Linked DNA regions of Tamandua tetradactyla. The protein of the gene in region 3 interacts with the protein of the main gene of each other region in a pairwise test. Links are inferred from orthologs where the notes say so. Each region holds a gene or a part of one and is shown on either strand. Other genes may lie near its edges. The genes, in order: RFX6, NFKBIA and NEDD9.

Region 1 (7,242 bases), on a different chromosome or scaffold from region 3:
TTCATGCCGATCCTTATTATTTCATTCTGTTTGCACTAGGTTTGTTTGGTCTTCTTTTTATAGTTTCTTTTCTTTTTTTAGGTGCACAGTTGAGGAATCGAACCTGGGTCTCCCACATGGAAGTCGAGTATTCTACCACTGAACCACCCGTGTACCCCTTTTTATGGTTTCTTAAGGTGGAAGTTTAAGTTATTGATTGAGTTCTTTTTTTTTAATGTATGCATTTGCAACTATAAATTTCCTTCTGAGCACTGCTTTCATTGCATCCCATAAAGTTTGGTATATTGTATTTTCACTTTCATTCATCTCAAAGTAGTTTCTCATTTCTCTTGTGATTTCTTCTTTGACCCATTGGTAGTCTAATATTGTACTCTTCTATTTCAACATATTTGTTAGTTTTCCAAATTTCCTTCTGATATTGAAATCTAATTTCATTCCATTGTGATCGTAGAACACACTTTGTATGAAATTAATCTTTTAATGTTTATTGAGGCCTATTTTTTTGGCTTAATATATGATATATCCTGAAAAATGTTCCATATATTCTTGAAAAGAATATATATTCTGCTTTTGTTATTTGGAGTGTTCGTTGGTGTCCATTAAATAACTTATAAATCTTCTATTTCCTTTTTATCTCTATTCAGTTGTTCTATCCATTATTGAAAGTGGGGTGTTGAAGTTTCCAACTATTATTGTTGAACTGTCTAATTCTCCCTTCCATTCTGTCAGTATTTGCTTTGTGTATTTTGGAGTTCTGTTGTTAGCTATATAACCCAAATTTACTTTTATTTGAAAGTAGCAACAACATGAAAATTATTAAAATAAGGCAGACTATGAAGTTCTTTCTATAATAGCAAAGTTCATTTGGTAGATAAAAATAAAATTAGGGGAAGCATGAACTTTCATGGTAGAAAATTTCATAGTATATGATTCCTCCAGACCATACCAATTCCAGGCATAGTGCAGACAAGGAGAAAGATGTTTCTCAGCAATGAAAGAGTGAAATTTTATTTCTTTGTTTTTGAGAACTAAAAGGGATCTAAAGTTTTGGAGTAAAAATATTGGATATATTTTATTAATGGCTTTCTCTGTCCCAGGTACTATACTAAGTTCTTCTTTGTGATGTTTCATTTAATCCTCATATCATGAATAAGGTGGTGTCTAATATCAACAGAACCTGATCAAGCATTCATGTGTAAGGGTGATGCTTCACGGAAGTGTTCCCAGGGAAATGGGTGAGGGACTAGGCATTGCAGGAACGGAGGGTGAAGAAGCCAAGCAAGGATGGGATTTCAGGAATGGTCCAGTGGAGGATGGATTCAGCCTGAACCCACAGAAGAACTCTAGATTGTAAATGATGCCCCAGATTTTCATTGTGAAGACAAAGAGCCTGGCTTTCAATTCCTCCGAATCATCAGTCATTGACTAAGGGTTGCTCAAGGAATATAAACTCCAAGGCCCTTGGACTGTTTCTGCTTATGTGCAAAGGCAGTCTGGTAGCCAAGGGAAGCTCCTCTGAAGGACCTGAGGTGCTCTTAGATGGTGACAGAGGGGTGCTCAGAAGATGAGAGGGATCAAGAGGTATGTCTGGACTGAGCACCCATGAAATCTACTACAGATAGGTACTCTTGTTTCCATTTTAGAGAGAAGGAAAGTTAGGCCAGAAGGCTAAATGTGCAATCACATAAAGAATGAGTGCAAATGTATCTGACTCCAAAGTCCTATTCCTTTCTCCTTATTATGATACTTCTAGTCATGAAGATATTGTCATTTGGGAACTTCCAAGAATTGTCTTTCAGAAATCATTATTCTGTTTTCTTAAAATAGAAACAATTTTGTCAGGGATACTTTACTTAGGATCTGTCAAATCATATGTGAAAATTTGCCTGCTTGAACGTGAGTTTTTCATGTGCCTTTCCAACTCGCCCCCCCACCCCCGGCCCAGGGAAAGAGTCGATGGCTAACACGAATTTCTCAAAGGAAATACAAAACACAAAAGGTTAAGAGCCACAATTTTCAAAGGCCAGTCTCCATATTTACCTACTTTCCTATGTTATGACTTTACTATTCACTATTACTTCTCTAAAATATCGGTTCTCATGAGTTTAAATTTATTAATAATAGATGGAAATTTGGGGTTATGACTTTTTTCCCTCTTCGTTTTTTGCTGCATGTCATAAATTTGTGAAAATTAGCTAAAGCTCTTTTAAATCACTCTTTAAACATTTGGTAAAATTCACAGTAGATTAATCTTATCTGAGGCTTTTATTTTATTTTGTAGTTGAAATCTTTTTATAATTATAAGCCCATTTACATTTTCTATTTCTGAATAGAAGCACAAAGAACTTTACATGCTATTTTGTTAGGCAGATGACTTACTTAAATTAAGGCAAAAAGTTCAGTTGGGGACATAAAGGAACTTGGTTTAAATTTCCATTGACCAATGCAGTTGGATAATTGCCAGATATTCACTTAGTGTCTGTATGGCTTACACATACACACACACAAACACACACAAATACAAACACACAACAACCTGGGTATCAAGTGAACAACATTAAAAAAAAATCCTAGTAATTTGCCTGAACAGAATTTTCCTGCTGTTTATGCCATATAACTGATCATGCAGTTAATCACCAGGCCTGGCTTTACAGAATGAATCTAAAGCTATCTTTTTAGTATTAAATAGCTAACCCCATGTCCTGAGAGAGCTCTCTGGACAGCCTCAGGTATCTGGATGTGTGAATGGGTGGGTGGACCCTGCCAGACCTAACTGCTAGAGTTACCAGGTAAAGGAAAAACTTTTGACAGAGAAATAATGCCTTTCCCAACAAGCGGTGCGGAAAAAAAAAATTGGAGAGGTTCAGATATACCCATAATTTTGGTTGCTTAGGTAACCTTAGCAATGTATTAGAATGTATTTTTAGAATACAGAATGTATCATTCTTCCCCATAATTTACCTTTCAGCCACCCACCACCTTGGATCAGATCCTCTTTTGTTTCTAGTTTAAATTTCATTGTAATCTAGTTTGATACTGAATTTGCATTCAGCGTCTTTCTAATGCTGCAAGAGAGAGGATGAATGACAGGATGAAGTTGTGGTGAGGCAATGTGAACCAAAGCTGGATCCTGGCTTTTCCTGGAGAATGCCCGGCATAGAGTAAGCGCAGGGCTGATTTGTTGAAGAAACAACGAATGGAAGGAAGGAAAGATTGTGTGGCAGTCAGGCAACCCCGGCCCAACTCTACGCACTGCTCCTTCTTAGAGAGAGCATAAGTGATGTTCATGACTCTTGACATTAATTATTTCAATTTCATTTCAACAAATGTTCGTTGCATAATCCCTAGATGGATGAGGCATTTCCAGGGACCCGTTTAAATAACAAAATATTGTAAATGGGGGTAAAGGCATCTTTTCCAACAAGCCCAGGGCCAGAACCCCGAGAGAGGCGAGACTCCGGAGTTTGAGCCCTTGTGTGCCCTGGAAGTGCTCTCCGCGCCCGCGAGCGCTGCTCTGCCGCCCGCACTACGGCTCTAATGTATCCTCGAGCCACTGAAAAGAGCCCTCATCTGTCCCTAGGTTATTCCGAGAATAAGTAAATCCCTGCCACTCAGCGTACAGAGGGAGCGGAACTCTGCACCCTGTTCTGTGCGCACACAGCCACCGCTACCCGTTCGGGAGCATCATTTGCATTTCTCGAGAGTAGCGATGGGGCGAGTTTCAGCTGCGCTTCCCCGGGCAAGAAGAGTAGAACTTTTAGGATAATCTGGCCTTGGGTATGAAAAGTGTCCTCCGGCCGAGCAAGAAAAGAGAGGAGGAAGGAGAGGGTAAGGGTGTGGGGGAAAAGGACTGCATTGCTTGGGCGCGACTGGGGCGCAGGTGAGGAAGTGAGTTCTGAGTTGAGCCGCTGTCGAGACGGCACAGGGGTGGAGAGTGGCAGGCGGTCGCACTCACCCGCTCTGGCTTCAGGGCCATCCGAGCCGTAGCCTTGCCCTGCGATCCTCCTCCGCGACGCACCTGGGCGCAGGAGCCTCCGGCCTCCTCCCCCACCCCAGTGGCCCCAGGTCCCCACCCCCGCCGCGCCCCGCCCCGGGCTCTGGCTCGGGGCTCCGCGGGGAACCGGCTGGCGGCGGCGCAGAGGTCTCCGGTGGCCGGAAGGATGGCCAAGGTCCCGGAGCTGGAAGACGCCTTTCTGCAAGCGCAACCTTCGCCCGGAGTTCCCCGGGAGATGCCGGAGGAGTGTTGTGTGCAGTTACTGGGTAAGGGCTTGCTCGCCTACCCCGAGGAAAGGGTGTACCTGGAGGCTGAAGCGCAGCCGGGGGGCGCGCTGGGCAGCGGGGAGAAGGAGGAAGATCCGGAGCTGCTGGTAGGAGTTAAATCAGGTGAGTGCTTTCACACACACACACCCCCTCCCCGGGGAAGTGATTGGGACGCGAGAGTATTCTAAGCAGGGCATCCAATAATAAACTTATACACAGTGCAGACATACATATAAGCAGAATGTTCTGTCCAGATCTTTATATTTCCCCAGGAAAATGTCAACTAGAGATTGTTACCTATTGGGGATTTTGCATAGCTGCGCCCCTGCCCATGACTGACGCAAAATTATGTGTAAAGGGTACTTGATTGATTTCGTACTCTGCTTTTCTCCATCATCTTTTCGACTGACAATCAGAAATGCATTTAAGCAATGGTAACTTTTCTTCTGAAGAAGAGGATGCAGATAGTCACGACAGCAAAACCAAAGTAGCCGATCAACACCTCTCTCAGAAGAAAACCATCACGCAGATTATGAAGGATAAAAAGAAACAGACTCAGCTGACACTGCAGTGGTAAGATTGTCCCGCGGGGGCACATCTGTGCACCTGTTGCTCTTTAAAAGCCAGTGTCTGCACCTTTGCTTTTCCTAATCTGCTTCTCCCTCGAAGCTTTTGGGGAAGTTAAAAACTCCAGTGAAAAATTCATTCAAAACTTTTTTCTCCTACTAACTTGTATATGTTTGTTTGTATAAAGTCATTCTGGTAACTGATCGAAAATTATCTGTAATAAATACGAACCACATTACTTTATGGTTTTTCTTCATCATGAGAACGTTCATTCAGTTGGTCCTTTCGTTTGTTATTTGGCAGTTATCTCATTCACAAAGCATAATTTGAAAAAAAAATAAAGGGAGAGAGGACCTTTATTTAACTTTATTCATGAGGGCAAATTAAAAATAGTGTATTGATCATAAGATGCATTGTATCTAAACTAGACAGAAAAATCAGCTTAGATATCACTATTAACTAAATAAATGTTGAACTATTTTATAGCACCTGTCACATATGAGCTGTTATAAAGAAATATCATGCATTGGATTTTTAGCAAATCTTTTAAAAACAAGAGATTATCAGTATGCTCTTTCTCTATGTACAGGATATTTTGTAATATTGATCTAAAAGGGAAAAAAGACCTAAAGTAACAACATAATGTAAGGATTTCCCTCATTATGTGAAGAAATAGAGTATACATTTCCTCCCAAATAAATCAACAAATCAATAAAAAGTGTTATTTACTCACTGATGAGTTAAATATTCTGTTTGTATGTCAAATCTGATACGAACTTTAGAAAAAGATAATAGAAAAAAATTGACAAAAACTAGTAAACTTTATTTTTATCTATTTAAACATTGAATTAAAATTTACATGCACTGATTTTTTGTGATTATGTACTTGAACTCTTTGAAATATTTTAAGTATTCCTCTAAAGCTATGGCTTAAATATTGTAGTTGATGTGTTTACTCGCTAAGAATACACTAGAGCTGTAAATAATTGACCCAATCATCTCGAATATTTAGGACAAAACTATTTTTGTTAGGATAACTGGGGCAAAATGTTTTGATTTCAGGTATATTATGGAGGTGTTTTGAATAATCACTCCTTTTTTTATTTCAAATTGAGTAAATGGAAACAATCTTGGGTTTTTATTTTATAAATATTCATACATTAAGTTTAAAGAAAATTATGACAAACTCAAATTTAAAATTTTACTCATGTTTATGATTACTTAGTATTTTTGAAGATAGGCAATGCTTAGAACAATAAGATGTTTTATTAGAAATATATATTTTTTGAAGATGAAAACAATGCCTAGAAAAATATTAATATAGGTGAAAAGTAGGGATTATGTGTATATTATAAAAATGTCATTTTTAAATAACTGAATATTTCCCAAAGTGATTTTCATACTTTTTGAAACTATGAAATGCTGTAATTTTTGCTGTAATTTTCTATACCCTCTCCAAAAAAGTGAGTGTTATACTTGCATCCTTTGAAATTATAAATTGTTTTGGGGATGTTAACAATTAGAACTGCAAACCAGAATGAAAAAATATGGCTGATTAACTCATTTTCACTGTCAAGAAGATGTTTGGTTTTATAAATGCAAATTGATTTTATACTTTAAATCCTTAGGTCTTACTGATTTTTTCCCCAAAGAAGACGAGTACCTGATGTTTTACCTGCCCAGGGAATACTTCCTTTAGCGTTTATCTTATGCACATTGAGAATATATTAAATCAGGAATCTTAAAGGGTGCCGTCATTTTAAATCTGATCGTGTACTCCGTATTATATTGTTTCCATATTATAATTATCATGATTTTACAACACATAAAATGGGCATAAGTAAGTTTTAGCCAGATTCACCTATTGAATTTTTAGAAGATCGAAATAAAATCTAAAGGTTCTGATTTCTAGATTGTTGTTCAGATAATTGTAACACATACACACATATATTTAATGAATTGATTTAAACTGCATTTGCAGAAATCCAGATTAAATATAATTATTTTTCAAATTTAAAATTCATATAATTATATTCATAATGTAAAGTTGAAATTATATGTCCTATTTGAAGGCAACTATAGAGAATTACCTTCTTTTAAGTGTACAGGTTGCCTTAAGTATTATAATAATGATCACAGCAGAAAAGGTAGTGTGATAGAAATAGATCAGTATCATTTCAGACTTGAGTGAAATTATTTTTGTGTATTTTGCAAATAATTACATCAAATTATTTGGGGTTCAGTACTTTTTAGGGAAGAAAAGTAAGGAATGTAGGCTTTTACCAACCTTGGTGTTGAGAATGTTGAGTTCTTTTAAAAAAAAATCATGGGCGGGCCGCGGTGGCTCAGCGGGCAAAGTGCTTGCCTGCTATGCCGGAGGACCTCGGTTCGATCCCCGGCCCCAGCCCATGTAAC
Region 2 (7,535 bases), on a different chromosome or scaffold from region 3:
AATTCTGGATAACCCTCTCCAAGAAAACAAACAAACAACAACAACAACAAAAAACTCTACAAAGGTGAAGCTTAATAGGCTTTCTTTGGAGTCCAAGGATTTTTCTTGTCTCACTCATAGAATTCACAAAAATAAAGGCTGATCCACCACAGTAAAATATTTTGGGCCAAGCAGTGGGCAGTGTGGTTTTATGTACACCCTTTGAATTTTTTTCTTTTTTCCTTTTTTTTAGAAAAATAAAGCTCTCCTTTTGTACAAATATACAAGTCCAGGTTCTTTTATACATGTTCCATTTATAATGTCAGCCGCTGGCCTCCAAGCACACAGTCATCATAGGGCAGCTAAAAATGAGAGGGAAGAAAAGCACATTAAACTTCCAGAACTTTAACAAGACGTTGGGAAGACAGTGAGGATTCCTATTGGGAAATAATTTAAGTCTTCTTGGACTCCATTCTCAACAACCCAAAACATAAATGAACTTTGCAGGCTGAGGGAGTTTTTCTTTAATGTTCCTCTCCTCTAAAAAGGTTAAGCTACAAACAGAAAAGACACGCTTCGGGGATAGTGTTATTGCACTCAAGTTTGAGAACTTCATTGTTGAGACTCTGTGATTAAGAGTAGCTCTCGGGGCATGGGAAGGTGACGGGCCCCTCATCTTTTTTGTGGGTGTTGAAGAAGTTCAATGGAGACTCACCTCGTCCTCTGTGAACTCTGACTCCGTGTCATAGCTCTCCTCATCTTCACTCTCTGGCAGCAGCTGAAGGTTCTCCAGGGTCAGCTGGCCCAGCTGCTGCTGTATCCGGGTGCTTGGACGGCCCCAGGTGAGCTGGTAGGGGGAGTAACCCTGGTAGGTAACTCTGTTGACGTCAGCCCCACACTTCAACAAGAGGGACACCAAGTCAGGATTCTGCAGGTCCACTGCAAGGTGGAGGGCAGTCCGGCCATTACAGGGCTCCTGAGACCAAAGAGAATTAAGAGATGCTTACAGCTGAATTTGGGATTTCTGCTTGCAAGAAGTCTTATTCAGGAAAGGGGCTCTAAAGCCGGACTCACTCCATCTGGGAGCAGGAAGCACTCACCTGAGCATTGACATCAGCACCCAAAGACACCAAGAGCTCCACGATGCCCAGGTAGCCATGGATAGAGGCTAAGTGTAGACACGTGTGACCTAGAAGAACAAAAGGAAAAAAGTTTAACCATTTGTTTCAAGCCTCACACCTCAAACAGAACCTTCCACTTATTCTTTTAAGGGACAATCAGCCATGTCTTCTAAATTTGAAGGATCTCGAATTTGGGGTCTGAATTAACATTATAAAGGCATCAAATAGTGGGTCTATTCTCTCAAACTTTCTCATGTTGAGAGTTTAGGGTCTCACCAGGACTCAGACTGTTGGCCCACCTCCCCCCTCCTCCATGCCACCCGTCCCCTGGCGGGGCAGGCCGACTCGCGTACCATTGTAGTTGGTGGCCTGCAGGATGGAGTGGAGGTGCTGGGCCTGGCAGCTCTGCGTCAGGACTCCCACGCTGGCCAGGCAGCCCTGCTCACAGGCAAGGTGCAGGGGGGTATTTCCTCGAAAGTCTCGAAGCTCAGGATCACAGCCAGCTTGCAAAAGAGCCTCAGCAATTTCTGGCTGGTTAGTGATCACAGCCAAATGGAGTGGAGTCTACAAAAATAAAAAGGAATAGAAACAGAATAAACCATGGGCCAAACCTGCAGTCAGGGTCTCCTGAAACCCCAGGCCCCTCCCAGTGGTGGGTGCTGCTCCTCCCAGACAGGCCAAGGGGCGAGGAAAACACCAGAGGCCCCAGGTGGACTCTAAATCACCCAGTCCATGGGATATGCTTTTCTCTGTTGGATATTTGCTGATTAAAATGTAAAAGGCCGGGGCCTTTAAAGATCAGTGACTGTTGGTTTAGAAAGGATTTGGTGGCAATTGTGTCAGGGCCAATTTGTCAATCCAGCTCCATCACAGGGTCAGAAAGGGCCCCGGGCTAGGCGAGCAGCGCACCTGCTGCAGGTTGTTCTGGAAGTTGAGGAACGCCAGGTCCCCCTTCACTTGGCGGATCACTTCCACCGTCAGGGCCTTCTCTTCATGAATGATGGCCAAGTGCAGGAACCTGAGGGGAAGAGAGGGGGAAAAAAAACCAGGGGGTGATGAGTGCACCGTGTGGGGCCCAGGGAGGTGCGGGCTGCGGGGGATTGCGCAAGGCCGGGGTTTCTGGAGGCCGAGGCCGCGGTGTTTTCCGCGAGGTTATTATGAGCTGAGTGTTCCTGGCAGGCGCCCAGGGACTTTCCGGGCCCCCCCTTCCTCCTCCTCGGCGGGCGCCGGCCAGACCGCCCCGCCCTCGCGCCGGCCCGGAACGCCCTGTACTTCCCCTCGGGGCTGCGAGGCGCCTGCCAGCGGGGCAGAAAGTCCTGCCCACCCAGCCCCCCCACCCCTTATGCAACCCAGGACTTCGCGTCCCCGCCGCCGCCCCGCCCCCGGCCCCGAGGCCCGAGCCTCCAGGAGGAGGGGGGAGGGGAAGGGGAGGAGGCAGAGGAGGGGGGGCGTGTGAGGAAACGCCGGAGCGCGTCGCCGAGCTGCAGCCGGGCCCGCGAGCCCCAAGCCCAGCCCTCCCCCCGCCGCGCAGACGTGCAGCTCCGAACGTTTTCGCGGTCGGTGCCCGAGCCCCGGGGTCGCTGCCGCGCCCCTGCCCTGCTGCGCCGCGGCCCCGGCGGCTCCCGCTGCAGGCCCGGCGCGCACCCACCCTCCCCACCCCGGCTCGGCCACACTTACGAGTCTCCGTCCTCCGTGAGCTGCTGCTTCCAAGGCTCGGCCCCGCGCGGCGCCTCCTGAGGCTCGAGGCGGATCTCGCGCAGCTCCTTCACCATCTGCTCGTACTCCTCGTCCTTCATGGAGTCCAGGCCGCTGTCGTGGCGGTCGTCCAGCAGCCGCTCCTTCTTCAGCCCGTCCCGGGGGCCCTCCATGGCCCACGCCTGGGCGTGCTCGGCGGGCTGGAACATGGCGCGGGTTCCGTCTCCAGGCGCGGCTCCCCAGGTGCGCTCGGCCACGGGCTGCGCGCCTCCTCGCAGTGTCGCTGGCGGCTGGGGCTGCGGACTAGCACTGTTGTGGCTCGGCAGCGCCGCCCCGGCGCCCTATAAGCGCTGGCAGGGGATTTCTCCGGGGCGGGGTCAGGCGCGGGGAATTTCCAAGCCAGTCAGACCAGAAATGAGAACTGGCCCCATTCTATGCTGGGGGGGAAAAAAAGAAGCCTAAACCCTGTGCTGGGGTTCAACAGAGAAACTCCCTGCGATGAGCCACTGGGGTCATATACAGGGAACTTTTTGATGAGCGCTGGGTGGCTGGAAAGTCCTTCTGACAAGGGCCCCTCCCCCCAGGTACTTCCCTGCAGTCTGCACTCAGTAATTCTGTCCTCTGCAAAAATCCTTCTTTCCCTGGGGTTTCCCTTGATTTATTCGACTTAGGGTCGTCTGCGCTGCGATCCCCAGGACGCAGACCCGTTGGGCGGATCCACACCGGTGTTTGCCAACCTGCAGGGCCTTTCCGTTTTTTGCTCTTTTGAAAACCCAAGAGTGGAAATGATGGCTGGGTGTAGGGATTCGCTTCCCCAAAATTCAGTCTGCGGGGAAGGGCGGTCAGGTGGTTAGGTCGCGGGCCGTACTGTGTTCCTGCCAATACCAGGAACGCTGTGCCTCTTTGCAGAGCAGAGGCATTTAGCTTTTCCTGCCTTCCCAGGTAAAAATTGTGAAAGCTTTGGCCTTAAACCTAAATACTTGGAAAGCCCTCAAATCATTTCCTTGGGACTGTTAATCCTGTTGACTGGGGAAGGGGCAAGCACTCCTGCCCCTCTTTCTGGAAAGTGCAATATATAATCATAATTCATTTGAAGTAAGGCAAGTTGTGAATCTGTGCAGGAGGAGTTATAGATTTGCTATAAGAAATAACCAGTGAGGTCTCTTTCTTTCATTTGCATTGTGCAACTGCAGGGAATAGGCCCAGAACCTTCTACTGGGTGCCTGATGGGCAATTTCCCTGGAGCATTTGAAGAAGGATGCTGAAGCATGAGTTTAGCAGCGTCTTACCCAAGGTTGGACCATAAGGACCACCACAAAAGTAGCTGCTAGCTAGCGTGTATGGGGCTCAAGGCAGCCCCAACACTACCCCGCTGGTGCCCTTGCTTGCTACTCTTGACCTGGGGGGTGACACAGCTGGACCTACCCATACAGTGTGGGTAGCCACACAGAAGGGAAAGGGATTTGGGCTCACCATCCTCTGGTTTCAACTGCAAATATAGAAACTTACTCTATCTGTCCCTATCCCCACCTCCAAGTCAGCAAGCCATAAATTGAATTCATGTGCTTATAGAATTGCCCAGGCAAAAGAAAACAGTTTAGGTCAGAGGTCTTGAGAATTAGCCCCGGGGGGGTGGGGGGGGGGTGGGGTGGGTTCTACAGTTCTGCAGAGCTTTCTGGTGATTACTGCAATCATCTTTGCCTTGACTGGCCATTACTGTGAAACTTTCCCCCTGTCCACATCTCACCCCCACCCCCAACATGCCAATGTGGGGAATCTGGGTCAATGGGGTTGAGAGAGGAAATCTGAGGGGACAAAAAGTAAAATCAAGAAATAAAGCCTTCAGAGTGGCAATGATAATATATTAAAATGAAAACTGTCAGGATAGACTACATCCTCTCTGCAGGCATTTGATATGCAAATATACAATTCTTGAGGCAAAGTGGAATAGAGACTAAAAATAGGGCATCTCAACCCCAGGCTCTGCCTCTAATTAACTGTATGTTACTTTGGTAGATAGTTAACTATTCAGTAGCATACATGCTTTTAAAATAATAAGATTGGGTTTAATGCTATTTAGGGTTTTTTCCAGCTTAATAAACTATATTATGTCGCCACAAATGCATCTCTAACCCTGATTTGTAAGGGAGACCCTAGCTCTTGGCATATTGTGGTATAAATTTTTGTAAGGACTCCAACACTTTATGTATCACATTGTTAATCCTAAAAAGAAACTGAAATAAAGAGAAATTTACCCAGACATCCCATGGTAGTTTACCTAATTTCTATCCCAATATATTAACCATTTAGCAAAGCAGTCATAGTATTAACAATTTTGAAGACACATTGTGAAAATGAGACTGAATATACTATAATTTGGAAGTTACTCGAGTATTTTCTGCTCCAACTGTTAGGTAAAACAGAGGGTAGGTGTTCCCCTAGCTGGGAACAGTAACTTCTTTAAAAAAAAAAAAAGCTATAGAAATGGCAAACACTAAATGCCCTATTTACAAAGTATATCTTAGAAGAGGATTTTTAGCTAAAGAGTTAAAAATATGAATTATAGGTCTCATATTTAGAAAGTAAAAAGAGAATTATAGGTGTCCCCACAGAAGCTTTGAACAACCAGCAAGATCTAGTGGAAAATAGTTAAAGGACTGTAGAAACAGGATGAGCACTGAATCAAGAAAAAGGCAATTTAAGAGCCTAGAATCTCTTGGTATCCTGGCTGGCCACCTTCCCAGCCCTCACCAACTTGGCTCTGAGCCAGCCCATCCTCCCAGGGCGTGGATGCTTAGTCCCAGTTTCAGAGGGAGCAGAGTTAACGCTTGTGCACATACTCAGAACCTGTAGGTCTGGCACAGTTTGGTGGTGTCCCAGAACTTGCCCTGAGCGAAGAAGCAGCATGTGGAGCTCTCCTACAACATACTATGGGCAGCCAATAAAGCCATGGACCTGGGGCAAAGGATTGCTGGTTGGAGGCTTGGGGCAAAGGTTTGCTGGCTTTAGGACATACAGAGCTGTGCCTGGGACTCTGAGGAGGCTCTTTCCTAGGGAAGAGGGGACATTGTATCTGTGTAAACAGGGAAATTCCTAGGGCCACATGACCGTGGGTAGAAAGGAAGGAGGTTGCATGCTTTGGCCTGGAGCTATTCACTAAATTCTTTGTATAGATAAGCATTGAAGAAAAAGCACTCATAGAGGTCAATCTGTAAAGACTAGGAAAAGTGTTTTCTTTTTTTTCCCCGTCTTTTATTTTTTCCCTTAGCCCTGGCATTTAAAGAAAGCTCTATCATTATGCTAGCTGGATCCAAGCTTAAGGAAATAGATGCCTCAGAGTCTAAATTCCAGTGATAACACCTTAAAGCATTAAATGCCCAGGTTCCAACCAAAGATTATAAAACATACAAAGGAATAGGAAGTGATGTCCTAGGCAAAGGAGAAAATTAAGGTATTAGAAATCATCAATGAGGATGACCAGACCTGTGACATACTAGACAAAGTCTTTTAAAAAATGTCCTAAAAATGCTCAAAGAGCTGAAGGAAAACATGAACAAAGAACTTAAAAAATCAGAAAAATGACAGATGAGCACAAAGAGATTATCAATAGAGAGATAGAAATTGTGAAAAGGAATAAAATAGAGCTGAAGACCCCAATAACAGAAATTTATAATTTCCTGGAGGGGTTCAACAGCAGATTGGGAGTGGTAGAAGAAAGAATCCATGAACTTGAAGACAATTGAAATCATTCTATCTGAGGAGCAGAAAGAAGAAAGAAAAATGAACAAAGCCTAAGGAACCTGTGGAACACCTTTAAGTCTACCAATATATTCATTGTGGAAGTTCCAGAAGAAGACGGAGAAAAAGGGGCAGAGAGAATATTCAAAGAAATAATGGCTGAGAACTTCCCAAATTTAATGAAAGACATGAACATACTATCCAAGACACTCAACAAACTCCAGATAGGATAAACCCCAATAGACCCACACTGCATTATATTATAATCAAACTGTTAAATGCCAAAGATAGTGGATTCTGAAAGCCTCAAGAGAAAAGCTATTTGTCACATATAAGGGAACCTCAATGAGATTACGTGCGGATTTCTCATCAGAAACCTTGGCAGCAAGAAGGCATTGGGATGACTTAGTTAAAATACTGAGAGCAAATAATTGCCAGTGAAGAATTCTATACCCAGCAAAACTGTCTTTCAAAAGGGAGCAGTTAAGACATTTCCAGATAAACAACAGCTGGAGGAGTTCGTCACCACAAGACCAGCACCACAAGAGATGCTAAAGAGAGTTCTGCAGCTTAAAAAGACAGGACAATAGGCAATTGATCAAAGCCATATGAAGAGATTAAGATCTCCAATGAGGGTAATGACATGAGTACATATAAATGCCAGTACTATCGTATTTTTGGTTTGTAAGTCCACTTTTTGCTTTCTACAGAATTTAAAAGGCAAATTCATAAAACATAAAGAGAAATCAGTGGTTTAAGACATAATGTAAAAACATTTCATTTGTGACAGGAACTACAAAATGTGGAGAGACAGAGAGCTATAGAAATATAATTTGTGTATATATTGAAGTTAGGTCGGTATCAAAGCAAATGAGATTGTTCCAGATTTAAGATGTTAAATTTAAGCTCCTTGGTAACACAAAGAAAATATCGGAGAATATACATACTCGTAGAGTACAGAGTGCCAGGGACAGGGAGCAGGGGAAATGGGGAGTTAATTTA
Region 3 (7,057 bases):
ACACTCCCCCTTCTCCCCACCCATGGCCCCCACTCTCCTTTCCATTCCACCACCAAGCCCTGTTGATTTTCCTTTCTAAATGACTTAGTTTGTCCACTTCTGTTCCCACTGCCACCACCCCGGTCTATTTTCTCGTTAGACACTCTTGTTTGGATGACTACATCAAGCTTATACCTGGCTTCCCTGCTTCAGAATTGGTCGCTCCCATTCATCCCTTAAGAATGCCGATCATGTGGAGAAATTGGGACATTTACGCACTGCTGGTGGGAATGTATAATGGTGCAGTCACTGTGGAGGACAGTTTGGCAGTTCCTCAAAAAACCAAATATTGAGTTGCCCTATGACCTGTTAATACCAATACTCAATATATACCCAGAAGAGCTGAAAACAATGTCATAAACCAACACTTGTACACCGATATTCATAGCAGCAGCATTCACAATTGCCAAAAGATGGAAACAACCCAAGCGCACATCAACAGACAAGTGGGTAAACAAAATGTGATATATTCATATGATGGAATAGTATGCAGCCGCAAGGTGAAATGAGGTCCTGAAGCACATGACAACATGGATGAACCCTGAGGACATAGCACTGGGTGAAATAATCCTGACACAAAAGGATAGAGATTGTGTGATTTCACTAATATGAACCCCCTAGAAAATGTAAGCTCAGAGTTTTAAAAAGTAGAATATAGGAAACCTACAGATAGACAGAAGTTAGAGAAAGAGGAAGCAGTTACCTAATATATTCAGACTTGTTAATGAGGTTAAACTTAAATGTGTGGGAATGGATGGAGGTGATGGTAATTCATTAGTGGGATTATAACTGAAGGTGAATATGATTGAAAGGGGTTGTTTAGAGCCATGTGTCCCACTGATTAATACTACAAATAGAAATAAGCTCTTGCATGAAAAAAAAAAGGGAAAGGAATACAGATCAGAGCCCAACAGCCCCACCTTCTCCGCCTCTTTCAGAACACTCTGGCTCTACCGTCTTGCATAGCGTGGTCCAAGCTCACCCAGGATCATCTTGAGCTCACCCAGGATCACCCTATTCTTCAATCTTGCACCTCATGGGCCTTAATTTTGTCAGACTCTTCTGCGATCTCCTACCTCAGGGCTTTGCTTCAGCTGTTTTCTGTGCCTGGAGCACAAGCCCACACCTTGCCTTGTTTAACATCTAGTTTGGATGTGAAGACAAGACTGGAAAAGTCGCCTTTTCCAGTTCTCATCTCTGTGTTCTCTGGAAACCTCCCTGACTCCCCGAGGAGACCACATCCCCCTGCAATACGTCACAGTTTAAAATGATACATTTTTGTAATGATTTATTAATGTCTGTCTCTTCCCTGGACTCTAAGCTTTTGGCAGGCAGGAGCAAAGTTAGGTTTTGTCCCTCTTACATAAGTTTTGACTTAGTGACAGCCGTAGTGCTGACTCTGTTGAAAATTATTAAATAACTCACTGAACTAATTAACAAGAACTGGTGGCACTCTCATTCAAAATTGATTTCATATCCCTCTGTTTCCACTGTTCCACTTTGCCCCATTCTTAGAACAGGAATATCGTTGAAATTAACAAAGCTTGGAGGAAAAAGGAAACAAGGAGGAAAATCACTTAGTGGGTCTCCAGGGCTCTGTCAAGGAGAGTACACCCACTTCTGGGTGGGAAAGAAGCTTCCAGGGCTGGGGGGGCCGGAGAGTGGAAAGGAGGGGCTTCCCGAACAGGGGTTGAACAGACTAGAAGCATTCACTCTCACCTCACCTCTAGCAGAGGGAAAAGATTGCTCACCAGTCTCCACAGAGCTTTAAGCTATATATAGAATGAATTTCCCCTCTTAAAGTAATACACATTATTCATTTTAAAGTAATTTCAGCAAGGGAAAGATGTTGTCTCACATACTTTGTGAAGATCCATAGAGACTAAAGAGACATAAATATGGTGTGGCATCCTGAAACGGGAGAGAGACATTCGTGGAAAAACTGATGAAATCCTAATAAAGTCTGTGGTTGAGGTAATTATCAACGTGAGTTTCTTAGTTTTCACGGTTGTATAGCGTATTAGCATAAGGGAAAGCTGCGTAAAGAGTATATGGGAATCCGCTGCATTATCTTTGCAATTTTTCTGTAAATCTAAAATTATTCCAAAAACAAAGTTTATTCTTTATCTTATAAATATAAAGACTATTACATATAAATTATACAATATTATATATATCCTTTGTGGAAGACAATTGAATGAATGAATGATGAATTAATATAGAGAAAAACAAAAGTGAAGTTGTTGGAGTGGCCCTGTGCGAAGAGGAAGAACATGGGGTCGTTTGTCCCTGCCCCTGACAATCAAGTCTCAGCACAGCTGGGCACACACACAGAGCCCAACCCTCAATCCCCATCTCTTGCTCTTAAGAGTCACCCCGTGAGAGACTGAAAATGATGTCATGACTCTATTTCAGCCTTAAGTGTAAATGACTATTCACACTGTGAAGTCCTGAAATAACTTGGGGAAGAGTAAAGAGCTAAAGCTCATTCATTGCAGGTAAGACCTCTGAGGACAGAAGGAAGAGGGGAGGAGTCACACTTTGAACACCAGGAAGCACCTACCTGGGATGATTAAAAAGTAAAAATTCTGCAAGTTTGCAGCTGCATTGAAAACCACTGCCTCCAAATCGCTTGGAAGTTGAGCTGAAGTCATCCTTTCCTCCTTTGGGGCATGTTGAGTCCCTCTCTGCCCTGATTAGAGGGTGCTAACAGCAAGGAACTCCCCCAGATGTCTGACACCAACTCAGGAAGTAGCAGAGTCTGAGCAAGTTTGCCCTCCCCCAAGCCTGTGGCCACAACGAGTGGCTGAGAACTCACCCTGGAGCTGAACCATAGTTGCTGGACCATTTTGTCTCTGTGGTGTCTTGGTCCTCTCTCTGGGCAGACCGGCGGATGACAGCTCAGCTCTGCTGCACGGTTATGCCTCTCTGCTGCTGCTGCAGCCAGACTTGCTGCTAAAGACAGCTGTTAGCATTTCCCTACTGAACAACCACAAACGGGCGATGTGAGTGGCGAATGCCTGTGTATGCTTTTCCTTCCGGTTGCTGTGAAGTGATGTTGTCTCCGTTTATTTCCTCTCTGTGCCTCTTCTTTATTTTTATCTCTGCCAGAACTTCTGAGTCGCTCAAGTTGTAGAAGCTTTGTAGTTTAGAGGCAGGTAAGAACTCTAGTTCTCATCTGCACCATTTTCCATTTTTAGAATGATCATTGATCTTTGAATTATAGTTGCGATGAAAGTCTGTGGAATCTATTTTCTAGGTGGCATGAACTCTTTTCTAGGCTACACTGAGGCAAAAATGAGACTATTTCCAAGCCAATCGAATTGGGAATTTGTGGTTTTTACAGACTCAATATGTGTCTGGGGCTTCTACTCTAAATTGACATGGAACATTCTTTCATTGGACAAATAAGTTCCTAACTTAACAGATTGTTGTGAGAATTAAATGAATTAATGTATGTCAAGCACGTAAAGGTGCTTGGAACAAACAAGTAAGAATTTGTCTTAGATTGTCAGGCTGCTATGTCAAATACCACACAATGCGTTGGCTTAATGGACATGAATTTATTGGCTCATGGGTTTGGAGACTAGAAGTCAAAATCAAGAACTCAGCACACCATGCTTTCACTTGGAGTCTATAATGGTCTTGTGCTATGTGGTCTCCTTGGGGGTCTTTGGCTTGCATCTCTACCTCCCATCACCTGGCAACCCCCCTTCTGGGTCTCCTCTTGTGGCTTTCTCTGACAGACTGCATCCGAATTCCCCTGCCTTATAAAGCCTCCAGTCATATGGATTAAGTCCCATTCTAAATCAGTTTAGCCTCATCTAAATAGGTCCTTTAAAGATCCTAGGCACAACTGAGTCCATACCTTAACGAATAGTAATATCTTCTAACGTCCTATTCACAAAGGGGTTCAAAGCCACAGGAACACAAGATTGCAACTTGAACACACCCTTTTGGAAGCATGATTCAATCGCCAACCAGCTCTATATGAGTTTGCTATTATGATTACTAGCAAAATATTGTCAGCTCAGACCTTTGCTTTTCCCATCCCTTCCCCATTTCCTACCCCTTGTTGGTGTCTAGGGAGAGTGATTCCAGGGTGTAGATGACCTGAGAGGGTCTTCTACACCACACAGTTGAAAAAGCAGAAGAATTGAGACGCAGAGAACCAGAGACCAGCCAGCTAATGCAAACAGCTTAGCACGTCCATTGCCAGACAAAGGCCCAGAGTCATCAAGAGTGCGTGGACAAGGAGATGGAGAGGAGGAAATAAGCCGAGCAGCGAGCCTTGGACGCATTACCCTCACTCGTGACACCTCCGTCCCACACCCCCCAACTCCCCCCAACTTCACACACCTGAGCCCCGTTACCCAACCTCGGCCAAGCCCCAAGCACCCCTGCTCTCGACCCCCACCCCGTGCATGCGCAGAATTCTGTCCCAGCCCACCCCACCTCTCGCACGCAAGCACACAGTGTTGCCCCACCCCTCCTGAGACCCACGTACCTGTGGTCAGCCCCTGGACCCCCACCTCCCCCCTGCAGGCAGTCAACTGCGCATTCGGGCTGCAGGCGCTCACCTTCAGACCCAGGCCACATCCACACTCAGCCCATCCAGTCATGCAACTCCACCCCAGCCCCCTGAGCTTCGTGCACGCGCACGTCAGCCTCTGGCCCCGCAGATGCATGCAGGCTCGTACTACCACTCAGGCCATGCCTCCTCAGCTCTGGGCAAGTGCTGACCTAAGCATCAGGGCCGCAAGCAGGCATCATCTCATGCCAGTGGCCCTGAGCTCTGCCCACATGCACACCAGTGCCCTGCTCCCCAGACAGGAGCATTTCAGGGCCCTGCCCCCCAGATACACACACCGGCACAGCCAGTTTCTCCCATGCTGGGCACTCACGTGACCCCTGCACCTCACTCCCCTTGCCTCATACATGTGCACAACCTTGCCCCACCCCACATGCCCTTCTCCCACATTTGGCAGGTCCTCTCCAACACATCTGTGCTACATAGCCTCCGCCCTGCACTAGCAAGCACCTGTACCCCACCCCACCTCTGCACCTACACACCCGCACCAGGGACCCCCATCATCACCCACCAAACACACATGTCCCGCAACCTCCAGGACCTGTACCCTGCCCCTACGCACTTGCACATCCACATCCTGGCCCCCCTGGACCTCTCTCTCTGTGCAAGGACACATCTGCATTCCAACCTCCTTGTGCCCCGACTTGTTCCCTGTATCCTACACCTGACACCCATGACCCACATGCTTCACGTGCCTACCTGCATCCTGTCCACTTATCAACCCTCATGCATCCACTCAGACCCCCCCATCTGCCGCCTGCTGTGCCCTACCTCTGTGTCCGCCAAGTTGCGCCCTGCTCCTGCACTCCGAGAACTGCCTGACCTGCACCTCACCCCCACAACCCCTGCAACATATGACCACATCACTGTGACCCACAGCCCATGCTCACAGATACCAGTGTAGAGTCCTGTACCCGTGCATATACCTGCACCGCAACCCATCACCGCACTGTTGTGGCCCTCCCCAAACCCCACATCTTGCTCTGCACCTGTCCTGCAAATACAAAGCTTGAGACTACTAAAAGAAATCAACATCCAAAGTAACCCTATTAAGATATTTACATGCCATGAAGACAACAGAAGATCACTAATCATATGAAGATGCAGACAGAGCCCAGTTTAATGACCAAATTAAAACATGGAGGAGACACAGACTTTGGAACAACTAATCAAAGATGTTCATATAACTTTACTAAATAAAATCAGTGGTATGGTTAATAACATAAAAGAAATCAAGAAGACACTAGAAGATTGTAAAGAGGAATTTGAAAGAATAAATAGAGCAATAGCAAATGTCACAGAGGTTAAAGATACTGTAGACCAAATAAAAAATATACTTAGAGACACACAACAGCAGATTTGAAAAAGCAAAAGAAAGAATAAGTATACTAGAAGACAGGACAACTGATTTTGAATGCGCAAAAGAGAAAATGACAAAAAATCATGGAAAAATTTGAATTGGATCTAAAGGAAATGACAGACAAAATGCAGCACACAAATATAAGAATCATTGGTGTCCCAGAAGGAGAAGAGAAGAGTAGAGGGCTAGGAAGAGTAGTTGAAGATATAATGGGGAAAATCTTCCCAACCTGTATAAAAGATATAAAAATGCAAATCAGAGAAGCCCAATGAACATCAAATAGAATAAATCCAAATAGGCCTTCTACAAAACACATACTTATCAGTCTGTTAAATGTTGAAGAGAAGTAGAAAATCTTGAAAGCAGCAAGAGAAAAACAATCTACTACATACAAGGGAAACCACGTAAGACAGTTGGAACTACTCAACTAGCACTATGGAGGCGAGAAGGCAGTGGTGTGATACATTTAATATCCTGAAAGAGAAAGACTTCCAGCCAAGAATTCTGTACCCACCCAAACTGTTCTTCAAAAGTGAGGCAAAGATTAAAATTTTCACAAACAAATCCTGAAAGAGTATGTCAACAAGAGTCCAGCTCTACAAGAAATACTAAAAGGAGTTCTGCCAGCTGAAAAAAAAAAAAAAAGACAAGAAAGAGAGGTCTGGAGGAGAGCACAGAATTGAAGAGTACCAGTAAGGGTAACCTAAATGATAAAAAGAGAAAGAAGGAAATGAACAAATAGATCTGATAAATAAAATCCAAAGAATAAGATGGTGGATTCAAGAAGTGCTTTTGCAGTAATAACTTTGAATGTTAATGAACTAAACTTACCAATTAAAAGATACAGATTGGTAGAATGGATTAAGAAATATAATCAAGCTATATGTTGCTTACAAGAGACTCGCCTTAGAACTGAGGATACAAATACATTGAAAGTGAAGGAATGGAAAAAGATATTCACACAAGCTGTAACCAAAAGAAAGCAGGGATAGGAATACTAATATCAGACAAAATAGACTTTAAATGTAAAGACATCATAAGAGACAAAAAAAGGGCACTGTATAGAA

Evidence for each region.
Region 1: the proteins of NEDD9 (region 3) and RFX6 interact in binary tests that used the Homo sapiens proteins (3 or more experiments, as listed by UniProt). The two-hybrid records come from large-scale screens. The link is inferred for Tamandua tetradactyla from reciprocal best matches to the Homo sapiens genes NEDD9 and RFX6.
Region 2: the proteins of NEDD9 (region 3) and NFKBIA interact in binary tests that used the Homo sapiens proteins (3 or more experiments, as listed by UniProt). The two-hybrid records come from large-scale screens. The link is inferred for Tamandua tetradactyla from reciprocal best matches to the Homo sapiens genes NEDD9 and NFKBIA.

What each region holds. Positions count from the first base shown.
Region 1 is NC_135331.1:177,780,250-177,787,491, forward strand, and holds the start of RFX6 (DNA-binding protein RFX6), read left to right. Parts: upstream 1-4,160; coding exon 4,161-4,383; intron 4,384-4,676; coding exon 4,677-4,833; intron 4,834-7,242. UniProt on the Homo sapiens protein: Transcription factor required to direct islet cell differentiation during endocrine pancreas development. Specifically required for the differentiation of 4 of the 5 islet cell types and for the production of insulin.
Region 2 is NC_135340.1:18,276,892-18,284,426, reverse strand, and holds the start of NFKBIA (NF-kappa-B inhibitor alpha), read right to left. Parts: upstream 3,106-7,535; 5' UTR 3,005-3,105; coding exon 2,778-3,004; intron 2,119-2,777; coding exon 2,010-2,118; intron 1,665-2,009; coding exon 1,454-1,664; intron 1,169-1,453; coding exon 1,080-1,168; intron 956-1,079; coding exon 695-955; intron 342-694; coding exon 294-341; 3' UTR 1-293. UniProt on the Homo sapiens protein: Inhibits the activity of dimeric NF-kappa-B/REL complexes by trapping REL (RELA/p65 and NFKB1/p50) dimers in the cytoplasm by masking their nuclear localization signals.
Region 3 is NC_135351.1:14,456,177-14,463,233, forward strand, and holds the start of NEDD9 (enhancer of filamentation 1), read right to left. Parts: upstream 3,048-7,057; 5' UTR 2,858-3,047; intron 2,819-2,857; exon of another isoform or gene 2,603-2,818; intron 2,139-2,602; exon of another isoform or gene 978-2,138; intron 1-977. UniProt on the Homo sapiens protein: Scaffolding protein which plays a central coordinating role for tyrosine-kinase-based signaling related to cell adhesion. As a focal adhesion protein, plays a role in embryonic fibroblast migration.